2 linked regions of the Rhinolophus ferrumequinum genome follow. The protein of the gene in region 1 purifies or fractionates together with the protein of each later gene. This does not show direct contact. Links are inferred from orthologs where the notes say so. Each region holds a gene or a part of one and is shown on either strand. Other genes may lie near its edges.

Region 1 (7,608 bases):
GAATAAGAACTCAGACCTCTGACCCCTAAACCTATGCTTTTCCTTTCTGAGCTCTTCCTGCACACACCCCACCATTGTTTTCTTTGTTTGACTCAATTCCCCTTGCTTCATCATTTATTTCCAGTTGACCCAAGTCCTCTATGCCCCTGAGCCCCTCAGTTATATTCAGGCTCAGTTTCACAGCTCTGCTGCCCTCCTTGCCCTGCCCCATTCTAAGGTTGAAAATCGATTTCCACCAATATTTTAACAATAAACAAAAAAACTAGGAGATATGTAAAGTGATGTACAGGGAGTTGTCATTTTTGACCTCTTGCATAATTAAGCTTCCCCTGGAATTTCTGTGACTGGGTGTGAGCTGCTTGTACCCTGGGAAGATGCACATTTATATCCCTTGGCCTGCTGAACCCATAAGCTCTCTCCTGCCATCAGAACTCTTAAAGCCCAAGGCTAGGCCATATCTCCCTTGACTTAATTGATACTCTGGGTTTGTTTTTTAATCCCCACATCATTCATTCCTCGGTTTTGTCTTCTGGTGCCACCTAACCTGTCCTCTAGCTTTATCTCTCAGAGTTCTCTGAACTGAGTCCTCTGACCCAGTGTGGTCAGTTTCCTCATTCTTTCAACTTCTCATTCTTTGTCCAACTAAGCTATTTTTCCTTCAGCCTAAAATGCCAAATTAGTATTATTTTCCAAATTATTATCTCGATTATCTCTTTGGGTGGGTTTATTTTGTATTCTCAAATAGATTCCTGAGTACAAGGGCCATGACTTAAGTTTATTTCCTGACATCACGTATTGCACATGGCTTGTTATAGACTAAATGTGTCCCCCAATATGTTGAAACCTTAAACCCCAGTGTGGCTGTATTTGGAGATGTGGCCTGTAAGGAAATAATTAAGTTTAAATTCATAGAGGTCATAAGGGTGGGGCCCTGTTCCGATAGGATAAGTGTCCTTATCAAAAGAAACACCAGGGAGCTTGTCCTTTCTTTCTGTGTACTAGTTCTCAGCAAAGCCCATGTGAGGACACAGTGAGAAGGCGGCCATCTGCAAGCCAGGAAGAGAGCTCTCACCAGAAATCAAATCATCTGGAACCTTGATCTTCTAGCTTCTAGTACTGTAAGAAAAGAAATTGTTATTTAAGTCACCCAGTCTGTGGTATTTTATGATGGCAGCCTGAGCTAATCTGTGCCTATTGAGAACATGGCCCCTACCCTTGGAGCTTGAGCAGAGTAGCATGCTGGGCAGGGGTACCCTGCTTCTGTATGAAAAGTTGTCTTTGCACACAGTCCAAATCCAAAGCCCAACCTTCCTTTGCCACCACCATACAGAAACTCCCATCTTTTCCTCTGCTCATGACAGCATCCTCCCAAGTGTGGACAAAGCTCCAAACCACAAGCAAAAAAAAAAAAAATTTTTTTAAACATTTTATTGGGGAAGGGGAACAGGACTTTATTGGGGAATAGTATGTACTTCTGGGACTTTTCCAAGTCAAGTTGTTGTCCTTTTCAATCTTAGTTCCAGGTCCAGGTGCCATTTTTAGTTGCAGGGGGCGGAGCCCACCATCCCTTGCCAATCTTAGTTGCAGGGGGCGGAGCCCACCATCTCTTCCGGGAATCAAGGAGAGGAACCTGCAACCTTGTGGTTGAGAGCCTGTGCTCCAACCGAGTCATCTAGCCATCCCACACGAAAAATTTTAATGTCGTCTACACTGCTCTGGCATCCCATCAGATGCCAAGTCGTAAGAGAGTTGACTAGCCCAGGCGCTATTACCTGGCCTGTGCTCTTGAGATGGCCCTTTTACTGTACTTCTTACCTCATCTTCATCTCGTATACAGAACAGGAAACGGAGGCTCAGAAGTCAAGCAACTTGTGCAAGGCTACACAACTAATGGGAAGTTGGGTTCAAATCCAGTTCATCTTTGCCCTGAATCCAGCCTACTTCCCATTGGACCTCTTTCCATCCCGCCAGAATTTATTATGTTCTGCCATTAACTATAGCTATTTATGAAGCTGTCGTACACCCATTATCAGACTGTAAGCTCTGAGGATAGGCTGCCTTAATCTTCCTTGTATCTCAGGCAGTGGCTAAGCCAGGGCCTTGTGCTGGGTAGGCACTTCAAGAAAAGGTACTGAGTGGAAAGTGGGACATGACCGTCATAGTGGTGATCATGGGAAATTGTAGCTCAGGAGATTTTGAGAAAGCTGGTAGAAGGAAGAGATGGTTTCTGATTTGAGCTTGAGGTGATGGAGAGGATTTGGGTAGGCAGAGAAGAAGGGGTGGTCTGAGGCGGGCCTCAAAGTCATGAGTTTAGAGTTGAGGCTGGCTTGGCGGGCTCCCGGGCCCTGGTGTTTCTGCCTTGAGTTCAGCTGTGCACACTAAGCAAGTCACTTCACTTCTTTGGACGTTGGTTTCCTAATGTGTAAAGTTGGAAAAGTAAGAGTGCCCACTGTTTGGGGTTAATGTGAAGAATAATGAGATAATGTATGTAAAGGACTCAGCACATCGTCTGGACCCAATATGTGTTATCTATTATTCATAATGAACACTACTAAAATATTACTCTAATGTGGTCTGAAAGTTCACATGGGCACCAATCTAGCTCTCTGAGAAAATTATTTAATTTACACTCATAGATAACGCCGTTGCTGTTGCTAAGTTAAAAAACAAAATCATTTAAAAGCACTACAAAATTCACAAGAACACTTTGGTTACTATGATTTTCCTAACCAACGGATTCCAGGAGTCCTTGAAGGTACCTTAGTTTTACAAGGCATTCTCATGGTGCAAAATCATGGAAACCAAACTGTTGGGAGGCAGGAGAGAGCTAAACATACGTGGGGTAGAAGACTAACCTCGCTGAATCAGAGACTTGGGTTTTGGGGAACAGGCTGACCTGGTGAGAATCCCGGCTCCTCTTGCAGGCTATGCTTTTAAGGACTTTAGGCACATTACTTATCTTCGAGTACTTTGGTTTCCTCACCCCTAAAATAAGGATAATATCACTCCCGGGCTAGGGGAGGGACTAAATCGGGTATTGTGTACAAGGTGACAATCGATGATGATGGTGATGTATGTGAAGCCTAGTTATGAAGGGCCTTGGATTTTCACCCTGTGAGGCTGCTGCTCTCAGTGTGGCCCCTGTGACTGCAGGTTAGCCTCATCCAGGACTTGTTAGAAATGCAAATCCTGGGGCAGCCTGTTGGCTCAGTTGGTTAGAGCGCAGTGCTCATAACACTAAGGTCGCCAGTTCCCACATAGGCTAGTGAGCTGCGCCCTCCACAACCAGAGTGGAAACAATGGCTTGACTTAGAGCTGAGGGGTCCTCCTGGAAAAACACACTGTTCCCTTCCCCCCCCCCAAAAAAAAGCAAATTCTCAGGCCTATTCCAGACCAGCTGAATCAGACACGCTTGAGGTGGGGTCTGCAATCAGTGCTTTTACAATCCCTCCTGGTGAATCTGTGAATTTAGGCTTGAGAAACTGCTGTGAGGTAATAGGGAGCCATTGAAGGTTTTTGTACAGCAGAGTGATGTGATAAAAACGATGGTTGTGCACAGACAATAGCTCTTGGTTAACAGGATTAAGTTGTCTGACCACCCACAAGCTTCCAAAGTGTCTGGAAGATGCCTGTTTATTGATCCTTAATGATCTCTAGGCACAAAACTCGGGTTAGTACTTATGACCCCAAACACAGTGTTCGCCTGAGTTGGGTAACTCAGCACGAGAGGGGCTGTTTGGGAATCTGTTTCCATCCATCCAAAGACTTGGGACCGGGCAGCCAAGGGATGCTCAGCGAATCCCGCCACTACAACCGAGTCACAAATTTAGCCTGGAGAAGGGACAAGACAACCATGTAGGGAAATCGGAAATGAGGGTCTTGAGGGTGGAGAATAGGGTGGTGGGAGAAGGAGATGGGGATAAGTGGGAATGAAGCGAAAGGGAGGACCGTGCTCTGCTTGGGTACACCCCCTTCGAGTCCCTTTAGAGGGACAGTGAGAGAAGGGTCCGGCCGCCTCTCGGCCTTTGGGTCCAGGTCAGTGCTCCTTGCTTATTGTTAGTGCGAGGTAGGGGCGCCTTCCTGCTCTGAGGACATCCCCGGGGCCACCCCAGGCGTGTTCCTCCGAGCTCCGGCCACGGGGAGAGCGCGGCGCGGGGCCGCCGGCCGGCCATTGTTCGGCCCCACCCCTGATGCATATTCACGCCGCGCGGGCGGCTCGCCCCGCGCCCTCCCCAGCGGGGCTTCGGTGGGAGTGCGTTTCCGCCCGTTTTTCCTGCCGGAGCAGGAAAGGGGGAGCTGTTTTCTCTCTCCTCGGAATATATTTTCGGTGTCCCGTGTCCCCTCCTCCCTCGCCGCCCGCCCCCCTCCCGCCTCCCTCCCCGCTCCGCCCCCGCCGCCCGGGTAGCTTTGTCTCGCGGCCTCGCGCTCACTCGCTCAACTCTCGGCGGCGCCGCGGCCCCAGCTCCGGGCCCGTCAGCAGCGCGCGGCGCGGGCGCGGGGCCTGAGGCGCGGGCGACGCCCGGGGGCTGCCACCGGCCGCGCCATGGTGTGAGCGGCGCCGCCGCCCCGCGCACGCTCCGTCCGCCCCGGCCTCGCCAGGCGGAGTCCGGGCCGCCGGCGCCCGTGCGAGAAGGCGCCGTCGGCGGCCTGGCCTGCGACGGAAATCATCCCGAAATCGGTATCTTCATCCTCACTCTTGGTCTGGTGGCCAAAAGGGAAGATGGCGAACGACTCCCCCGCAAAAAGTCTGGTGGACATCGATCTCTCGTCCCTGCGGGTGAGTGGCCGCGACGGGCCGGGCGCAGGGGCGCCGGGGCGCGCGGGGCGCGGAGCGCGGAGCGCAGGGCGCAGGGGCCGCGCCCTGGGCCGCTCGGCGCTCGGGCGCCGCCGCGGGCAGAGCCGCGGGCGCGGCGGCCCCTTTGTCTGCCAGTGTCGGCATGTGCGGGGCCGGGGTGCCCCCGCCGCCGCCCCCAGCGTCCCGGGCTCTGCACCCGCGACCCTCGGCTGCTGGAGGACATCGCCGGGCGAAACCCACCTCTTTGTAACCGCCCTTTCTCTCCAACTGCCCCGCTGTATTGATTCATTGTTGTGCAGCTTTCAAATGATAACCCCTCCCCTCCTTCTTGTCTAGGATCCTGCTGGGATTTTTGAGCTGGTGGAAGTGGTTGGAAATGGCACCTACGGACAAGTCTATAAGGTCGGTGTGGGGCGCCTTCTTTGTTTCCCGTGGCATGTTGAAACTTCTGGTCGGGGGACCAGAGGGGTGATAAACACGCTGCTGCTGACTGGAGGCCACGCCAGTTGGCCAAAGTTGGGAAAGGGGTTTCTCCTCGCAGGCCCTCTGTTTTCAAACAGTTTACATCCAGACTGGCCTTAAAAGACCTCATTTCCTGGCTTTGAGATAAGGAAATAAGCTACACTCTTAGGCATGCACTATAATAAAAGGGGAAAGCATTTTTTTTTTCTTTCCATAAGACAGTCTTCATTTTCTTTTTTTTCGTTTTCCCCAAATCTGGCCTTCTGACTTTGTGTGTTAATTAAAATTCAGGCTAGGCAGGCCTTGCCCATGGTTATCCTAAACCACTGCCTTGGCCTTCTTGAAAATTGTCATCGTGTTTCCTCGTTTGAATGCTTGCCAAGCTCTCAAGGTGTGGAGTTTGTTGCTACCTGGGACACTATAACTTTGTCATACAGTCTACTGATGGATACATATTTTGGAGAAGCAGGGAGCGCTTGTGTTTGGGCCACAGGAGCAGGAAGAATTGCAGTGTGAGGATTATAAAATCTGAATTCCAGGAATAACCTGTTTGACAGGTGTGTAATTGAAACAGAAATGAGGGAGAGTGAGGAGTAAAGAGGTTGCCCAGCTTTCACACCCATCCCAGGTCTTTCTCTCTTTTTTAACACTCACCCCGCAATGGCAAATGAATCTAACAAACCTGGAGACTGTGAGTCTGCCTTGAGTAGCTGACACCTGATGTGACTAGCTGTGCTGTTCATTTTGTCCAGTGCACATTCTAGAGATTATGAAGGAGCTGTAGGTAATGGAGGCGCAGGCCTTGAACATTTGAAACAGAAGGTTAAATCTCCCTGTCCTGATTTGTTTCTTATACTAGCCGTTTTCTAAAAGTTATCTGCCCTGGGGGTGTTTGCAGCTGTTAGAGTGGGTACAAGGTTGGAATAGAAAAAAATATCTTATGAAGCAGGGCTTTGTGGTTCACCATGAAGAATTGTCATTGTCTCATTAATAATGAGAATGGGGGGGGCATGGAAGCTGACTGTAGACATTTTCTTAGGGCGAATTAAGTGTGGATCCTATTGTCTGTTTTTTGCTGAATGAATAGGGTTTATCTGTCCCTTGAACGTGTCTCCCCAACCCCAGTGTCCCCTGGACAGGCTGTGTACTGGCCGGTGGTCTGAACTTGAGTCAGGATTCTTAGGTGATCTCAAGTGAATTAGACTGTGTTTTGTTGGTTAACTGTTGGGGCTGTGGCCAGATTTTTGAATTTGAAAGGAGCCCTGTTAACTCAGCCTGCTGGCTCAACTGAATTTGGAAGCCTTTGGAAAATTTTGGAAAAGATTGTGTTGCAACTCATTGAGTGGCCTGGTAACTGGCTTAAAGACGTTTGCCCTAGCCCCAGTGTTTGTTTAAACACCAGTTGTTTTTTTCTAACCCAGTTTTTCTGGCTAAATCTAAATGGTGAGTATACTCTTCCAAGTGAGTTAGCCAAAGCTTGTTTTTGACCTGGTTACACGGTGGTTGGATTGTATCTTCCTGGGTGAGCATGGATGTGAAGGGTGGTGAAGTAAACCAGAAGCTGACAGTCTGTTTTTCAACCACAAGAAAGAAGAAAGAATGAAACCTCAATGTGTATTAATTGGTTTTAAGGTAGGAGTTCTTTTTGCTAGCTGGTTCATTAAACCTTTTTCCCCTCCGCATTTCCTCTTTGGTTCCATCCTCTCTTTCACCCAAGTTTTTGAAATAGATTTCCCGAGTACTGCATTTGGGAAGTATTTGGGATATTGACAGTGACACAGCTCTCTGACTGCAGAGTCTGTACAGTTGAGGAGAAATTCTGAAATTGTGCAAATCTAAAGAATTAAGAAACCTGTGCACAAGTGGCATACAATCACGAACAGAACAGTGCCTGAGACTTTGCTCATCAGCAGTCCTGTTTTATCATTTTGGAAAATTTCGACATACCCAAGGGGAGAGAGTAGATCGCATAGTTTAACAGTTACCGGCACGTGACTAATCTGGTATCTGAGGTCTTCCTCCCCTCCATTATCTTAACCATTTCACCCATAAATACTTCAGGATGTACCTTTTTTGTTTTTTAGATAATCACAGTGCCATTCTCACACCTAAAAAATTAATTCCTTAGAACCAAATACTGAGTATTAACATTTTCCTGATTGTTTCATACATGTTTTCTTACTATCACAAGTTCTTTAATATTTATGAACTGGTGCTGGGCAGTTTAGTCCTAGAGGTGATGGAGCTAGCAGAAACAGTTAACATCTCCGTTTCTTCTCCCTTCAACTGTATAATTTCTAGAGCCATTTACATTATGCATAGGAGTTTATTTAGGGTTTCTGTTAGCATAG
Region 2 (8,003 bases), on another chromosome or scaffold:
CGCCCCCGCACAAGAACGCAGGACATGGTGAGGCCAAAAAGGAACACCCACGGAGCCATAGATAGGGGAGTCATAACACTATATTCTTGCTGGCGGCTGGGTTGGAGACACAGGAAGCAGAAGACACACTATCTGCAAACTGCCGTCCACTTCTCTCTGGCATCCAACCTCACTTGCTAGCTGCAATCTGCCGTGCTAACTGCAATCCGCTATTGCTAGCTCAGCCACCATCTTCTTCCTAGGCCCCCAATTGCTGCTAGCTTAGCCACGGCGGATATATTAGTGGCCAATGGCTCACTGGTTACAGCTGACGGCCAACTAGCCACAGCAGATGGCCATCCAATCACAGTTGCTGGCCATTTACTACTTGAGCCAGCACCTTTCCACGTGAGGCCGAGAGCCTGGAAAGTGCACTCCTGGCTCTGTCCCCACAGAGAGGGAAAACGATTAAGGAGTTCAGATCTGTTTTAGGTACACTCTATTTAATAACCCACTGAGCTCCAAGGAACTCAGCTGTCACATCTGGAAAATAACAGTTTTGTGTCTCTGTAGGTATGTTTGCCTGGCCAGGCTTGGGTAGTGGCCTCTGTGGTAAGCAGACCTTGCCATGAAATTTCACTGATTGGATGAAGATTCCAGGTGGGCAAGGTTGAATGTGATTATATGCTAATTGGAGTTGTAGGAAAGCTAAAGGTATGGGGGAGAAGGCGTATTCAGGCAATGAGGGATACATGACTACTTTTAATACTTTATGCAGGTATGAAGTGTCAGTCAGTGAAAGAGGTAGCTTACAGAACAATATGACCCCACTTTTAGTTTTAAAAATATTTTTTTTACCTTCAGAGAAAAAATTTTTGAAAGGCACTAAAATATAATGGTGACTACCTTTAAAAAATATTTTTTTGCAAGGAACATTTTTTTATAATAAGGTAAAGATAGTAAAGGTATAAAATTGGTTCTGTGTACCTAGGGAGACTGATATGCAGAGCCAATAGCTGGTGTAGCTTGAGGCAGGATTTGGAGGCTAGAAAGGGCTGGAAAGAACACAATCTGCTACCAAGGGGCCTCCCAAAGGCCTGAAATAAGAAGAGAAGATTTGCCCTGCTGAAGATTTCCGTAGGCAAAGACTGAGGACCCTACTGACTCAGCTTTCTACTAACTGGAAGGCAACTTCAAGCAAAAGAGAAGGAAAGTACTGGGGCATGGAAAGAACAGGGCTCGGTTTTTCTCCCCAGGACCTGGAAGGTGGGTGAGAGGGCTCACTTGGAGGGTGGAAGTGAGGGAAAATTATCCAGAACAGTTTATGGCTCCACGGCTCAAAACTGAAGGATGCCTGAAGTGGAAGGGAGGGATAAGAGAAGTGAACAACTGGTGCCTGAAGCAAACTATTTAGCAATTTAAACTTGTGCCAAGTTAATTGCATACAACAAGATTATGTACCTGTAACTTCTGTATTCTGCGTATGGTTTATACCCTAAGATTTCTTCATACTATGGTAAAATCGGCTGTTCTTGAGAATGATTGCCCGAGCAATAATTACTATGGAATGGAGGTTGACACAGAATTAAAGCAGAAGTTCTAAATCTCAAGGTCATACTCGCTAGAGAAGTTACCCTCCCCCCATCTTTGAGCCTTGGGAGTGGAAAGTTATTGTTTGAGCAGTTTACATTTATTTTTTATTTTTTTAAATGTCTCTGCGTCATCCACTGCTTTAGTTGTATGTTGATGTCTTTTAGTTTTTTTTTAATTAAAGTTTATTGGGGTGAAAATTGTTAGCAAAGTTACATAGATTTCAGGTGTACAGTTCTGTAATACATATCTACATATATCACGTCATGTGTTCACCACCCAGAGTCAGTTCTCTTTCCATCACCATATATTGGCTCCCCTTTACCTTCATCCACAACCCCTCTCCCTCCTTACCCTTTGATAACCATTAAACTATTGTCTATGTCTGTGAGTTTTTGTTTCTTCATTTGTTTTTCTTGTTCTTTTGTTGTTTTCAGTTTTATGTACCACATGTCAGTGAAATCATATGGTTCTCGACTTTTTCTGTCTGACTTATTTCACTCAGCATTATAATCTCAAGGTCCGTCCATGTTGTCGCAAATGGTACTATTTCATCTTTTCTTATGGCAGAATAGTATTCCATTACATATATATATATACGTATATATATACGTATATATATATACGTATATATATATAGTATATATATATATACGTATATATATATATATATATACGTATATATATATATATATATACGTATATATATATATACACACCACAACTTCTTTATCCGATCGTCTATCGAAGGACACTTTGGTTGTTTCCATGTCTTGGCCACCGTAAATAAAGCTGCAATGAACATTGGAGCACTTATATCTTTAAGGATAAATGTTTTCAGATTTTTGGGGTAGATACCCAGGAGAGGGATTGCTGGGTCATATGGTAATTAAGCAGTTACTGTTTGGGTGCCTAAGTGCTTTGAATGACGTGCCTCTTTTATTCTTCAAAGGAGTCCTACAAGCCAGATCCACTAGTATGCCCAACTTTACAAATGAGGGAATGGAGAGCTAGTTGGCAAAGGGCAATATTAGGCTTGTCTGGCTCTGAAGCCCAAATTCCTTTTATAATACTACCCTGCATTTGTTAGTCCTGAAAATACCCTAACATGAGTAACAGTAGCTAAGAAATACTAAAATTAGTAATACCTAGGATGAGGTGATAAACAGTTACCATCATACTGTGTTGGTAGGAATGTGAATCGGTGATCTTCCTGAAGGATAACTTGGCAATATTTACCAGAATAATTTAAAATGCAAGTACCAGTTGTTTCAATTATTCAGCTACTGAAAATTCACCCAAAAAATAACTAGCAAAGATATACCAGGGGTGCCAAAATATGTACACATTTTAAGAGATATTATCTATGTATTACTTTTCGAAGTTGAATGGAATTACGGTAGCAATATGTAGTATGATGTTAGCTCAAAAGATGGAGTTAATCAAATGAATGCTAGCGTCATTCATGGTATTACAATTTTAATAGTTGTAGTTGTATTAAAATTGTAATACCATGAATGACGCTAGCATTTTTCCTTTTAAAAAATGTGTATACATTTTTTTAGCACCCTCTGTATGTATGTGGAAGATGTTCAGTGTAAGGAACTAGAAGCAACCAGTGTCCTTCAGTTGCTGGAACTGGTTAACTAAATCATGGTTCAGCTGTTAAAAAAAAAACATGAAGTACATCTATATGTTCTCAACTGGAAAATTCACCAAGATATAGTAAGTGAAAAAAGCAACGTGCAGAATGCTGTGTATTGTCAGATTACTTTTGAAGTAATTTTTAAAAAATACATATAGAAGACAGATTGATAGATATACTAATATATAAACAACATTTTTTTTTCTCTGAAAGGCAATACAAGAAACTTTTAACAATAAATACCTTTAGAAAGAGTAGTTGTGTTATTATTTTTGTGCCACTTGGAGATATTTGGGCTTTTCAAGTTTTGTTTTCCTCTCTATGTGTGCTGATTTTTTTAAAAATAACACTTTATTAACTCTTTTAAATAGAAATCAAATAGCTAGCATTTATTAAAGGTTCATACAGAGCAAGGGACTGTGCTTATATATTTTACATATAAAACTTCATTATATTCTCACATTAAATGATTAGCTCTATTTTACAGGTGAAGAATTAGAAGCTCAAATGGGTGAAATCATTTGCTTGAGGTCCCACAGCTAGGAACAGCTAGGAGGTGGAGGAGCTGCCATTTAAATGCCTGTCTGCCTCAGTTCAGAGCCTTTGGCTTTCAACTGCCAGGCAGTGCTCTTCTAATTGGTCTTTACACTCTCGTTGCCTAATAAAAGTAAACTGGTGAACAACTGGAATCTAATAAGATAATGTATGTTAAAATACTTTTCTAAGTATAGATATATTTGTGGAGGAGAATAAAGAAAGGGGGAGGGAGTTTGTTTAAATTGGGCAGACCTGTGCACTGACCCCTAGACAGTCAGGATGTAGAGGAAGTTGTTTTTGAGTAAGTGATCAACAACTTCCTTTTGTTTCTCCTTTAAAAATATTATAAAATTATATTTATTCCCTTTCCCCAATAATACCTGATTGTTTAAAATTTAAATGATATGAAGGATTAAAAGTCCTTTTATAATACCCCTCACAGATAATTAATGACTGTTTCAGATTTTAATGGCTATATAATATATATTGCACAGTTTACATAAATGAGAGCAACTATCTATTTGTTCAGTATCTTGCTTTTTTTTCAGCCTTACAATATATTATGGTATCTTTTCATATCAGCACTTCCGAATCTACTTATCTCTTTTTTAGTAGCTGCATAGTATCCCGTTTTGTGAATGCGCACACACACACACACACACACACACACACAATTTTCAATCACCTATTATAGGACATTTAAATTACTTCTGATTGTTTGCTTTCATAAATGCTGCTGTAATGTATTCCCTTACCAAAAAAGTTTAGAAGGAGCTTCAGACCGAGTGTAACATTTATCAACGCTGTAGTTGCTGAGAGTGACCCAATAGAACTCTGTACTGAGAGGAGGATTATGTTTCACTGTGTGGAGAAACAAAAGAACTTTCTCCCGAACACTTTGGCCAACACGTTCAGGACTATTACAGTTGCCAACAGGTGGGATGACCTCAAAAGGAAGAGCTCCCTGTTTTGACAATTTAGTAACAGAGCAGAGACTTGGTACTACTGTTCAACACTGATTGCTGGATCAGAAGAGGAATTTCCAGACTCAGTTACAAGCAGGGCTGGTGCAGGCTGTGGATTCCACCAGACAGTCTGGAGACAGCTAGACAGGGAGATGGGCAGCAGAGCTCCAAATCAGGCAACGGCACGTGTGGAAGTAGCAATGACCTATGGGGAGACTCATAACTCATAGACCAAACCTCTTCCAGCAGAGGGCAGTGCCTCAGATATCAGGCGGGACTCCGGCCAGCTGGAGCCAGAGCTGGGGACCTCTCTGAACAGATTGCTCCAGCCCTGGGCCGAGGAGAAATTGAACTAAACTGTCCTTTGGATACTGTAAGTGACATTGGGGAATACTCAGGGAGAGACACAGTGGGACTTCACACTACTGTGAGTTACATGTTTTCTAGTATCTAACAATCTGGGTTTGGTAATCTCTTTTAATACAGTCTGGCCATTAGGACTTGCAGGTAAGGAAATATGCAGTCAGTTTAATTAGACTGGCCACGGAATCTCTCAGGTTTTTGGGTGCGTGCTTGAATCAAAAAGGGAGTAACATGCCTAAAAAATAACCTAGCTTTCTGGGCCTGTGGATCTGACACAAAGTTTACAAGTAGAAAGTTAGCAGAGGAAAGATATGTAAGAAGTAACAATTTTATCTAAAAATAGAAAGTTAATATTTAACACTAGAGTCCTGTGCTTTCGAATTTCAATGACTATGGAGGATGGCTGTTAAAAGAAACCTTAACATGGAAGAGCTAGCCATACAAATAGCTGTACATGCAGATAATGAAAGATTAAAAGAAGTTAGTAAATTGAACAATTTACAATCAACTCTTCCCTGTATATTGGTTACCTTTCCCTGCTGTGTAGCACTTGGAATCAGGGGCAAAGCTGAGTTAGAGTACCTGGAAAGTCTATTGGTAAACCTTTTGTTTTCCAAGCCTGGTGACAAGAAAGAAAAGGAGTGACTTTGGCATTTGCTAATGGAATCAAGGCAGATTTTCCAGTTGATAAAAGTACTGTGTTTAATTATGTCAGGCACAGCCAAGTAAAACACACCACCACATACGAAATCAGAGCAATAATGAAGTCTAAAGGTAGTTTGCACGAGTTTTTTAAAAAAAGATCAAGGAGAAGAAATACCAGCAAAGAGAATAAACTTTCTTGGCTGTTTTATTTTTCCTGCCACTTCTAGTCCAGGGATGTTGGGCATTCTCCCGGTCATTAGATCATTACTGGCTGTCCCGCACAGGCCAACGAGGGGATCAAGTCCTCCGGCAGAGCTGGGGGCGGCTGAGACGCTGAGGGGCTTCAATACCTTTGGGGATGGGACTAGCAGCAGAAGCAGCAGCAGCTGCTGGTGGGGAAAAGAACGACGCTGAAGGTTCTCAGAGAGGCCCTTGCCAAGGCCATAGCCCCGACCAAAAACTGTCCCCAGCCGTCTCGCCCAGCAGGGCGCGGCCCCAGCGCCACTCCGCTCACTCCGAAGAGGTGGGACTTTCCCCACCGGAAGTGATCCGGTCCAGTCTCAGGGAACTGGGACACCTCAGCCAGTGTGTCAGGGAAACCCTTCCGGGTGTGTACTGGCGGGGGGGGGGGAGTGAATGAGAAAAAAAAAGAGGTGGGTTCGCCTGGAGTCCCTGCGGCCGCCGCCGCCGCTGGACGGCTCCCGCCCCTCTCCCCTCTGCGAGCAGCAGCGCTGGGGCGGCGGTAAGACAGAAGCCGGCCCGTGGCCATGGCCTTGGTGTGACACAGCCTCCCGGGCGGCCGGGCGGGTGCGGACTGCAGGGTAAGCGGGTTGCTTCGGCGTTGGTGGAGGCAGCCGGGTGGGGGTGGGGGGTGGAGCTGGGGGAGGCGGCAGCAGGGGCTGCTGCTTTGGGGCTGGAGGGGGTCAGGCGGGTAACGTGCGCCCCTTTCCCCTATAACAGGCCGGACGACGCCCGTGGGAGCCGCGGCCCACAGACCCGCCCGGCAGCAGTGACGGGAGTGGAGCCCACAGGCCTGGGCCGGCTCAGCGGCGCTAGCAGGAAGCGGGGTCCCTGGGCCCCTTTGTGTGAAGGGCGGGGGAGGGGTGCGGGCAGCCCCTAGCTGCGGGCTCCTCGGACGTCCGCCTGCCTGCCGGAGCCCCACGATCGGCAGCCTCCAGCCCCTGCCTCCAAGGGCGCATTTCATCTCCCTACCCTTGCTTGGCTTCTCCAGGCGCGCCCTCCTCCCCACGCCCCCTGCCTGGGGTTCAGTTCCTATAGGAAGGGCATTACCATCCCATCCCCACCCACCCCGACACTTCGCTCTCTCCCCTCCCCCGCCCTTAACTTCCTCTTCGTCCCGCGTTGGGCCCTCTGTTTCTCTGCACTCTCCTCCCCAGTTCGCAGATTTCCGCCCACCTTCCACCTCCCCGAGCGCGCCGCTGCTAGCGGGGCGTTATTTTCCCTCCCTCGGGTAGGAGTTAGTGAAGGTGAGACTCATGAGGGAATACAAGGTAGTGGTTTTAGGGAGCGGAGGGGTTGGCAAATCTGCCCTGACTGTGCAGTTTGTCACTGGGACTTTCATTGAGAAATATGACCCCACCATTGAAGATTTCTACCGCAAAGAGATCGAAGTGGACTCTTCTCCGTCGGTGCTGGAAATTCTGGACACCGCAGGAACTGAGCAGTTTGCCTCCATGAGAGATCTCTACATCAAAAACGGCCAAGGTTTCATCCTGGTTTATAGTCTGGTTAATCAACAGTCTTTTCAGGTAACCAAACCAAGTCTTGTAATTTGTAAGAAGGGGGTGTGGTAATCCTACTTCTGGTTTGCTTGAACCGTGCGTTAATGACTATGTTTTGCTTTTGAAAGTTAGACATGGCGCATTTTTGAGGTTACTCCTGGCACGGAAAAGTATTGGGTTCTTTCTATAGAGAATACTAAAGTAAAAAGTGTCAACAAATATTTTAAAGTTATTTTTAAGTCGAAGAAAAGTGAAAAGGGTCAGAAAAAAAGAAACAGTTCAGTTTGTGTATATTTAGCATGGAATATAACCTTCTGAAGTTGCTTATTCAGTTCAACAAGTATTGATTAATGTACTCAACAAAACAACATTAGCAGATAAACCCGGTTAAATAGAGCACTTTGAAAGGAAAATTATTTGGAGTCCATCATCTGTGCAACTTTTCCCACCTCTGTGTCTGCTTTTCCCACCACCCACCCCCTCTCTGTTTTCACTCAAGTTTCTCAACCAGAATCTTAGTGCTGCAGGATGAAGAAT

The links. The genes of interacting proteins can lie anywhere in the genome.
Region 2: the proteins of MAP4K4 (region 1) and RAP2C purify together in Homo sapiens (affinity purification with mass spectrometry; 3 studies listed by BioGRID and IntAct, counting the BioPlex papers as one, with this or other methods). This does not show direct contact. The link is inferred for Rhinolophus ferrumequinum from reciprocal best matches to the Homo sapiens genes MAP4K4 and RAP2C.

The regions. Positions count from the first base shown.
Region 1 is NC_046296.1:3,142,091-3,149,698, reverse strand, and holds the start of MAP4K4 (mitogen-activated protein kinase kinase kinase kinase 4), read left to right. Parts: upstream 1-4,551; 5' UTR 4,552-4,720; coding exon 4,721-4,777; intron 4,778-5,131; coding exon 5,132-5,197; intron 5,198-7,608.
Region 2 is NC_046284.1:23,655,373-23,663,375, forward strand, and holds the start of RAP2C (ras-related protein Rap-2c), read left to right. Parts: upstream 1-4,998; 5' UTR 4,999-5,089; intron 5,090-6,356; exon of another isoform or gene 6,357-6,545; intron 6,546-6,684; 5' UTR 6,685-7,220; coding exon 7,221-7,493; intron 7,494-8,003. UniProt on the Homo sapiens protein: Small GTP-binding protein which cycles between a GDP-bound inactive and a GTP-bound active form. May play a role in cytoskeletal rearrangements and regulate cell spreading through activation of the effector TNIK.